Linked DNA regions of Drosophila melanogaster. The protein of the gene in region 1 interacts with the protein of each later gene in a pairwise test. Each region holds a gene or a part of one and is shown on either strand. Other genes may lie near its edges.

Region 1 (4,451 bases):
GCGTTTAATGGTTGGCTAAGTAAGATTAATCAAAAGGAAAAGAGGATGCCCTTTTTTTGATTAACAACTTAATTGTAAGGTTTATTACATATAATAAAAGCATAAAAAATAACACAAACTTTGGAGAAAGAGAAAATATAAATGTAGACGAGAAGACTGAACTTTTTACTTATCCTACGGCAGATCGACAATGTACCTAAAACAAGATTAGTTGGAAATGCACAAGTAACAAGTCTTACACAAGAGATTAACAGCTGCCAATCCATAATATTATCCTAAGTGTTCTAAGTTTAAAAAGCGGCACATTTTCTCACAGCGCTGAAACGATTTCTCAACGAAAAGATGTCTAATCCTCATCTGAAAAGGCGCGAAGAAAATAGGTCAGCAATGTCGAAAGGGAAATGCAAATCACATAATGCTACGCACCAGAAAGATAAAAGTTTATGATGCACATGGTCGCAAAGCCGGCGAGCACAGTTGCAAACTGTGCAAATCCCGCCCAGCGTCGCGTTGAGTTCGAGTGCCAGCGCGCCTTCTCGCGCGGTATCACCTCGCAGACGGTGACGTAGAAGAGTGTGCCTCCGGCCAGAGCTTGGACGATAGGCAGAGTTTTGCTGGACCAAGCGGCGGGCACGTCCACGATAAGCATGCCCAGGCCAATGCCAATGACGGCGCCCAGGGCAAACACCGAAATGCCGACGAACTGGGCGCGAAAACTCGTCTGCGGATTCGAGCGGAACTCGAGCCCCAGACAAAAGCCCATCACGAACTTGTGGCAGGCGACGGCCCCTAGAAGAAACAGAACCTACGACGAGACAAAGCAGATTCCGGTTATCTAATTGGACTAAGCCCTCGCATCTCTTTGCTTCAATATTTGCCTAAGATTGCGCACTATAGCCGATCTAGTCTAACTATGTCAAGGCAGGCGGCACAGACCTTTGTGGAAGAGTTCTGAACGCCGATGGCGAGTCCTTCGATGGCCGAGTGCAGTGACAGGGCGACAAAGAGACCCAGAGTGCCTGTCATGGATTGGGCGCAGGGTTCCGTGTGGCTGGTGTGGCAGATGCGGGCGTTGGCGTCCTCTACACTGGCATCATTACAGCCAGATGCGCTGGCCGGGTGATTGTGGTCATGATCGCTGCGTAATCGAAGCACAAAGCAATTAGTTTTGGCTGCGGGAAGGGAAATGCAATAAACCTACTGGCTATGATGGTGCGAATGCCCATGTGACGTATTGGGTTCCGCTGATAAAAGGGGCGCTCGTTCGTCCACTGCGCCATAACCATTGTCATTAGTGGGACGTCTTGGTGGCTCGGTTGCTGGAGTCTCTGCATCGTGGGCATGAGTGTGCTGAATGGCCTCGCCAAAGAAGTAGTGTATGAACTCGTCGATAAAGTAGATGATGAAGAACCCGCCGCACATGGCAACCTCAGCGAATTTCGAGTCCATTTGTTCGCGCACCTGTTGCATGCGTAAGTCAGCAGGTTATCAAATTGCAGCCACACACACGATCGCAGTCCAAGCTCTTACCTCGGGCAGAATGTGCACCAGTGCGGTGGCTAGCAGAATGCCCGCTCCGAAGCACAGGAGCAGGGATGCGGTCAGCGGGAAGCGGCGACGATTCCGTTCCGATATAAAGGCGGGCAGCAATCCGAACAAAAGACTCCCGAGTCCGAGGACCAGCATAGCCAGCACTTTTTCCAAGTCGCCGCGACTCGTGGCAGCCAGGGTGGGGCTTGGGGTGATCTCCATGTTTAGACCGTCGGTTGGCAAGCTCATTGTATCAACTGCCAGACTGTGTCATCAAGAAGGGGGCCAGTAAAACACACAAAAGTTCGTTGCATTTACTATTTTTAAACTAAACAGTTGCGAAGTGTGTGCAGCTGCTTTCGTGCGAAATACCAAAACGCCTTACAATGGGGGGGCCACAGAAAAGTAAGGCATTTCAGCAGTGCGCCTTTCAGATCACACTCATTTAAACGGTTTTTTTTTTTTTTAATTTTATTTAAACATTTAAATCTAGAACTATTCTTTTACCAACCACCACCATTAAGAATTTCAATAAAAGAAGGTAGGCACCCTCTCCAATTATAGTTTTGCACTTCGACAAATGCTCCTGTAGTTAAAATTCAAAATTTTACCGTTTCCGTCCTGGTTGTCCGTTGGAAAATGCATCGTCGTTGTATAATCTGTGGCCAGGAGCCGGGCGAGCAGTGCGTCTACCCGCGCAACATGTCGGAGGCTCGCCGGTGGCAGAACTTGGCCAACCTCAGCAGTTTTGACGTCGACCCCGAATCGCTATGCCGGCACGGATGCGTTTGCGCCTCCCATTTGGATGGCCACGGATCAGGTTCGGAATCGGAGAGCTCGTCTCGTGCTGCTGGCAGGGCAAGGACTCAAGCTGGCCTGCAGGAATGGAGCAGGTGGAGCTCTTCGGCATCGGACGCTGGCCATGGCTATTCCATCAGCAAAAAGACTAACGAGCGGATCCAGAACCAAAGCAAACAGAGTCTCGGCTCGGAGAGGCAGGAATTCAGCAGCGCGAACAGATGTACGAATGGTTGCTGTCGTTTTCGAAACACCTGCAACAGCATGTTCCAGGGCAATACATACACCCAAATGGGACAGAAGTATCCCAATCCACAAACAAGGGCCACAAACTTAGAGAACAAAAATAATCCACCTATGAAATTAAGCCCAAGGGTAAATAAACCGACCTTTGGAGCTGTAAACTGCACCTGTGATGGATGCACCTGTAGTTTCTGTCCAGTGCAAGGGATCAAAAAAGCGGTAGCCCCTCTAGAAGAGGATTCAGGCAGCCAACAAAGTATAAATAAAGAGTATAAAGAAAGAAAGGATAATTCCAAAGGCAGCCCAAAAAAACAGAGTTCCTGTGAACGTCTCACTTGTCCAGCTTTCAGGACAACGGACATAAAAACTGTAGCAGATGATTTCCGCAGTAGCCCGAACTACCCGGTATCGCCAACTTCACGAGGTAACAACAAAATTAAAAGTTCGATGAACCAGCAGAATACGAAGAAAAAGCCGGAGCTGAAGAGCGAATGCTGCCAGACGTGCATCACCCAGCAATTGAAGGATCAGGAAGTGCAGTGCTCAACGGTGACGCTGCAGACTCAGAGCTCTTCGCCTGTTAGGCGAACCAAGATGACCGGCTCGTTCAGCCATCAAACTGGAAGCTCAGCGACAGGTTTATCTGGCGGATACACCAATAATTCGAATAACTTTACTTGTGGCGGCGGCGAGAGAAGAACTTCAAATGCAATCAACGTGCTGCTTATGAACGGCACCCGGAATAATGACTATGAAGATGGGTGCTGCTCTCCGGCGAAGCAACGTCCCATGGCGCCGCCTCCAGAGATTTGCGTTCAAGAGTCCGATCTGACCGAAAATGATGAGCGAGCTGTGTTCCCGGAAATCGACAAGCCCAATTACAGAGTTTGTCGATCCTCGAACGAGACCAATGTTCTGGTCCTGGAGGAGAGTCCTTTGAATGATTGCAGCCCCAACCCAGGGCAGGATGCGAGTACACTAGATAGCAAGACGAAGAGTAATTTTGATGCTCAACAAAACGCCAACGATAATAAAGAGCAACATAATAGTTTTCTAATCAACTGGCTTGAGTCCCCGGCCACGAGTAACTTCACCAAGGTTCTGGAACTGCAGAGATCTCGCATCAAGGAGCTGGAGAATCTGCTGGAGCAGCACAGCCTTCTGCAGCAGACAATCCAGCACAAGGTTGCGGAGCTGCAGTGCACAGATATACCGGATCCTAAAAATATATCTAAATCATAAACCAAATCTAGTGCGCATATCTCTGAATAAATTTTGTTGGTTTTCAAAGGGTGAAGAGTGTTTTATTCGCTATTACCGCTTGAATTCCAATACCAAACTTTCAGTTTGACCATCTAAATCAAGAGCAAATCCTTAAGAGTCTAGGCAGCGGTCTGGATGACATCGGTGTAGAGCTTGACCTTAGTGGCAATGCTCATGTCGACGTACTTGTCGCCAATGGAAACGATCAGGCCACCAATGATGCTGGGGTCCACGCGGGAAGTGATCTTCAGAGACTCGTTGCCCTTCAGGAAAGACTGCAAAGCAAATGAGCAATAAATTGAGTGGGTGAGACAAGACAGAAGCTAGGCGTAGCTACCTTAAGGGCACCCTCCAGCTGCTTGCTCTGGGACGCATCCAAGGGCTTGGCGGTGACCACCTCGCAGACGACCTCACCGCGATGTGCGGCCATGATGGTCTTGTAGGCATTGATCACGGTGTCCAGCTTCTTTAGACGTCCGTTGTCAGCCAGCAGACCCAACAGATTGACGGTGGCCGGGGCGAAGCGGAGCTTCTCGGATGCCTCCTTCAGAGCGGTGGCCATGACCTTCTTGTTGATGATGGGGCTGGTCACGTACTCGCGCAGCTTCTTGTCGCTA
Region 2 (4,020 bases), on another chromosome or scaffold:
GACGTTTATATATACATACATACATATACATACCTTCCTCAGGATCACTAGCCCAGATCTGAGCATGTCCCTTTGTCCGTATGAAAGCAGTTTTTTAATTTAATTTAGTTTTTTGTATTGTCAATTTCTATCCAATTCAATTTCTAGCCAAACAAATTTTGCACCGCCCTAATTTGCCCATACTTATAAAACATAATTCTGAATTTTATTTATTGATTTATGTTATCATAATGGGTATTGGATAGTCGAGTTTCTTGTATATAACGTTCTCCCTTCCTTCTATTTGTTTTTTTTACTTGGCTTTTGACCCAATGCCTTGGACCTTGTTCTTATTTTTTGTTTGCCCTAGACTCGTTGGCGTCGACTTTTAGGTTGTTGCACTTTGGTACCACAGTTATCAAAATTTCGATTGCTCTATTTTATTGCTGTATTTTATTTTGACCGATACAACTGCAGGATAGCCCATGTGTAAACAATCAGCAAACCATTTGTTATATTCCTGCAGTGAATGAAGATTAATTTCAGTCATAAAAAAAGAAAGGGAAGGCTACCGGAGAGGTGCTAAATAACTCCGCTCTCTGAGATAAATTATGCGCAATTTCTCCTCTGCAAACTTATTCAGCACCTTAAAGCTTAAGTACTCCAAACTAAGCTTTCGCGGCTTAAAGCTAAAAATCTTTATTTTATGATAAAAAGCTCAATTTTATGAGCATGTACTTTTTTACGTTTTTAACATGCCGTTTTTTTTTTTAAGAAGGACTTGGACATCTGTATAAGGCAACATATCCATGTGAATTTACAAGGAGAAAACGATTCAGTCGATCTTGTCGGCTTACAGATACGTGTTACTACTCCGCTAGAGGAAGTGCGTTGGAGTTGGATATATGTAGATAACATATCGATAGATTTACAAAATTAAATTTTCAAATGTGTCGGCGTGGCAGTTTTGGGGGGTTTGGGGGCCTTAGAGTGGGCGTGGTAATATTTCAACAAACTTGCGCTGGTTCTGTCTCTAGAATATGTATGCTTAATATAAACCTTCCAGCTTTTATAATTCCTGAGATGTCGACGTTATACGGCCGGACAGACGGACAGTGCCAGATCGACTGGGCTATTGATACTGATCAAGAATATATAAACTTTATATGGTCGGAAACGCTTCTTTCTACTTGTTACATACATTTTCAACGAATCTAGTATACTCTTTTAGTCTGCAAGTAACGGGTATAAGAAGTATAATTTGAACTGTATAAAGGTTAAACTGTATGTAGGTTAAAGTACTTATGCGGTAAATGAATCTTATTTCTAGTACTTATCTAATCATCCCACATTAAAGCAACTGATTAAATAATACCATTGAAGATTGCACACATTTGTATATAGAGAGTGGGAGAGAGCGATATCTTCCTCCATATGGGTATCCTAAACCTGCCGACTCACGTTTGCCGGCATGACAGGTTGGGTTACCCCATTAGCTGAGAATTTCTTTTTGATGAAGCAATAATCGAAGGAGTGTTTTCTTTTGGATTCGTATTCGTTTGATACCGCTGTGAGCCATAAAATGTAACCCATTAGGTTAGTATGGTTGCGATTATAATGGTGGTGTCATCATCATTTAGCCAAAAACCTGAGATTTATTCCACTGGTCCATTCATAAAAGGCCATCATTTGAAGCTTAGATAATGTTTAATTAATAAATACGCGTTTTTCGTATTTCAATGGTACTTTTATCGTATCAGATATTTTTTTTAATATTTCCATATTTTTCTTCTTCCAGCAGATAAAGGAAAGTAGTAGATTTAGTTGTCCCTTAAGTTGTGATACAACGATAATTGAATAAAATAAGAACTGGCAATTATATATGCATTAAGCTGTTTACGAGCACCAAACGTAGCCTACTCTGGGTTGGTTTATTAAATAGAATGGCTTTCTTACTTTTTTTTAGATCACGTTGCTTTGCTGAAACTGTCAGTATTTGGACTTGGCTATCACCAGCCATATGGCAAAACATCAGAAGTAAAATTGTCTGTGAACACACAAAGCACACGAAAAAATCTCGGAAAAAAAACTGTACAAAATTTAACTTCGCTCTCGACCAGATTTACAAAATTTTTTTTTTGGCCAAACTTAAAATTAGGAATACAAGAGAACGGTGTGTGTACCAAAATCAAATCGTGTTTAGCTAGTTGGTGAGTCTTATTGGAAGCTCGGCATATTCCGAATATTACTGAAATTTTTTCCCCATTTCCGAATTGCATTTGGTTTCACATGACATACGCACACAATTGGAAGTCGTAATTCTATATGTGTGGGACAGTGTTTACTGAGTATTTGGTTGGGGTTAACTTAAGAATTAATATTTTTTTTTTTTAAATGCGTATTTCAGACGTCAGGATATATGCTACTTTGATTCGTTAACTATTTTCAAGTGATCGGAAGCAAACGCAGAGGCATTTCTAATTTGTGCGTTGCGCGACTTTCAGAGATCGTAGACTCGATTAACCATGGGTAAAAAGGGCAAAGGAAAGAAGGGCAAGAAGCCCGCCGCAGTTGTGGCTCCCATCGAAGCGCCACCATGTCCTCCGTGTCCGGAACCACCAAAGCAGATGCAACCACTTGACGCTTGTCCAGAGTCTAGCGGACCCCACGATGTCCTTCGGGCTCAACCGAATCATTACCCGGCTCTTCTTCGTATTCCGGAAACAATGGCGGTGGTGGGCTCTGAGAATGGATGCTACGATAGCATTTGCAAGCTCCTGAGAGCCGGATTCCGGTGTGCCGAGCGGGTTTTCGTGATGGCCCCTTGGGGCAACTACGTGGTTTTCCGGTATCACAACAATAATGACTTTATTTACTTCCTGTTTGATGGATGCACCTGCGATGTTAATAGGTTCCGCTATCTAGACCTCAGCTGCGGAACTGCTGGATTTCTTTTCTTCGATAATATGCACGACGTTATTAGTTATATTATCCAGTCTCGAAAGACGCGTCTATATCTGGAGAATCTAAACAAGATTGCCATTGATCAGATTGTGGAGGAGTATGGCGCTGTAACGTACACCCAAAAGGCAAAATGCATGCGATTCGCTTAAATAGGTCCCATATGATTTCTAACAAAAGAGGGCAACGCATACACAACGAGGATAATACTGGACGACAAGCTTTGCTCTAAACATTTAACATATTTTGGCACAATCTTTATCAATAAATAATAATCTCTTTGAAAGCAACTAAAACAAATTTGCATAGCTCTAATACCAATAGCGGTGATAGCGATATACCAAAGCGTTTATTTTGCATGTCGAAGTTAATCCTTTTGTAGAGTTTTGCTGGGAAAGTTGAGGTTAGCGTACGATCAAAAGAAGTTAAATAACAATAGTCGACATAAATTATTGCAATATTACTGTGGATAAAATACAAATCGTAAATATAATATCAAAAATTAGAGACTTACAGGGTGTGAGAATTTTGTCAATTAGAGTACAGATTCCAAGTCGATTAGCGTTCGATTAATTCCATTCATTTGAGTGGTATGGAAATTATGCATGTGCATCATTTTGCTAATATTCGGCTCAAAAGAATGAAGCGGAGGATTCCAGCTTAACGTGCACAACAAATCCCTCAAATTATTATTGCTTGCTACAAAATGAAAAAAGAAGAAACCCAATAGAAACAAGGTGAACCTTCCAAGTAAGGGGTCAATTTTTGGAGGCCCATGGATTGCGAAAACCGCAAAGCATTTGCAATAAAGTGCCAAACAAGCGCCGGCCACACGATATTTGAATATTTATAAAAGTAGTCGACTTGTTGATAGATTATGAGATGTTAAACTGAAAAATTTTATTTTTCAAACAGATTTTCAGTATTTGAAAATGTTTATATTATAACACAATTAAATTGTTTTTAACATCTTAATTAATTCTGAAATAATGTTTAAAGTTCTTACATTTTTATTAACATCTTAATTAATTATATATATATATAATATAATAGGTTATTAGACAGACCGTTACTTCTTAT

What was found.
Region 2: the proteins of CG14864 (region 1) and CG12470 interact in a two-hybrid assay, tested with the Drosophila melanogaster proteins (2 studies listed by BioGRID).

Annotation. Positions count from the first base shown.
Region 1 is NT_033777.3:15,266,091-15,270,541, reverse strand, and holds CG14864 (uncharacterized protein), read left to right. Parts: upstream 1-2,112; 5' UTR 2,113-2,169; coding exon 2,170-3,813; 3' UTR 3,814-3,858; downstream 3,859-4,451. Other genes in the region: Zip88E (Zinc/iron regulated transporter-related protein 88E), read right to left, coding at 347-357, 427-805, 937-1,138, 1,202-1,461, 1,531-1,779; ATPsynO (ATP synthase, oligomycin sensitivity conferring protein), read right to left, coding at 3,954-4,109, 4,172-4,451.
Region 2 is NC_004354.4:305,704-309,723, forward strand, and holds CG12470 (uncharacterized protein), read left to right. Parts: upstream 1-1,980; 5' UTR 1,981-2,189; intron 2,190-2,386; 5' UTR 2,387-2,504; coding exon 2,505-3,092; 3' UTR 3,093-3,232; downstream 3,233-4,020.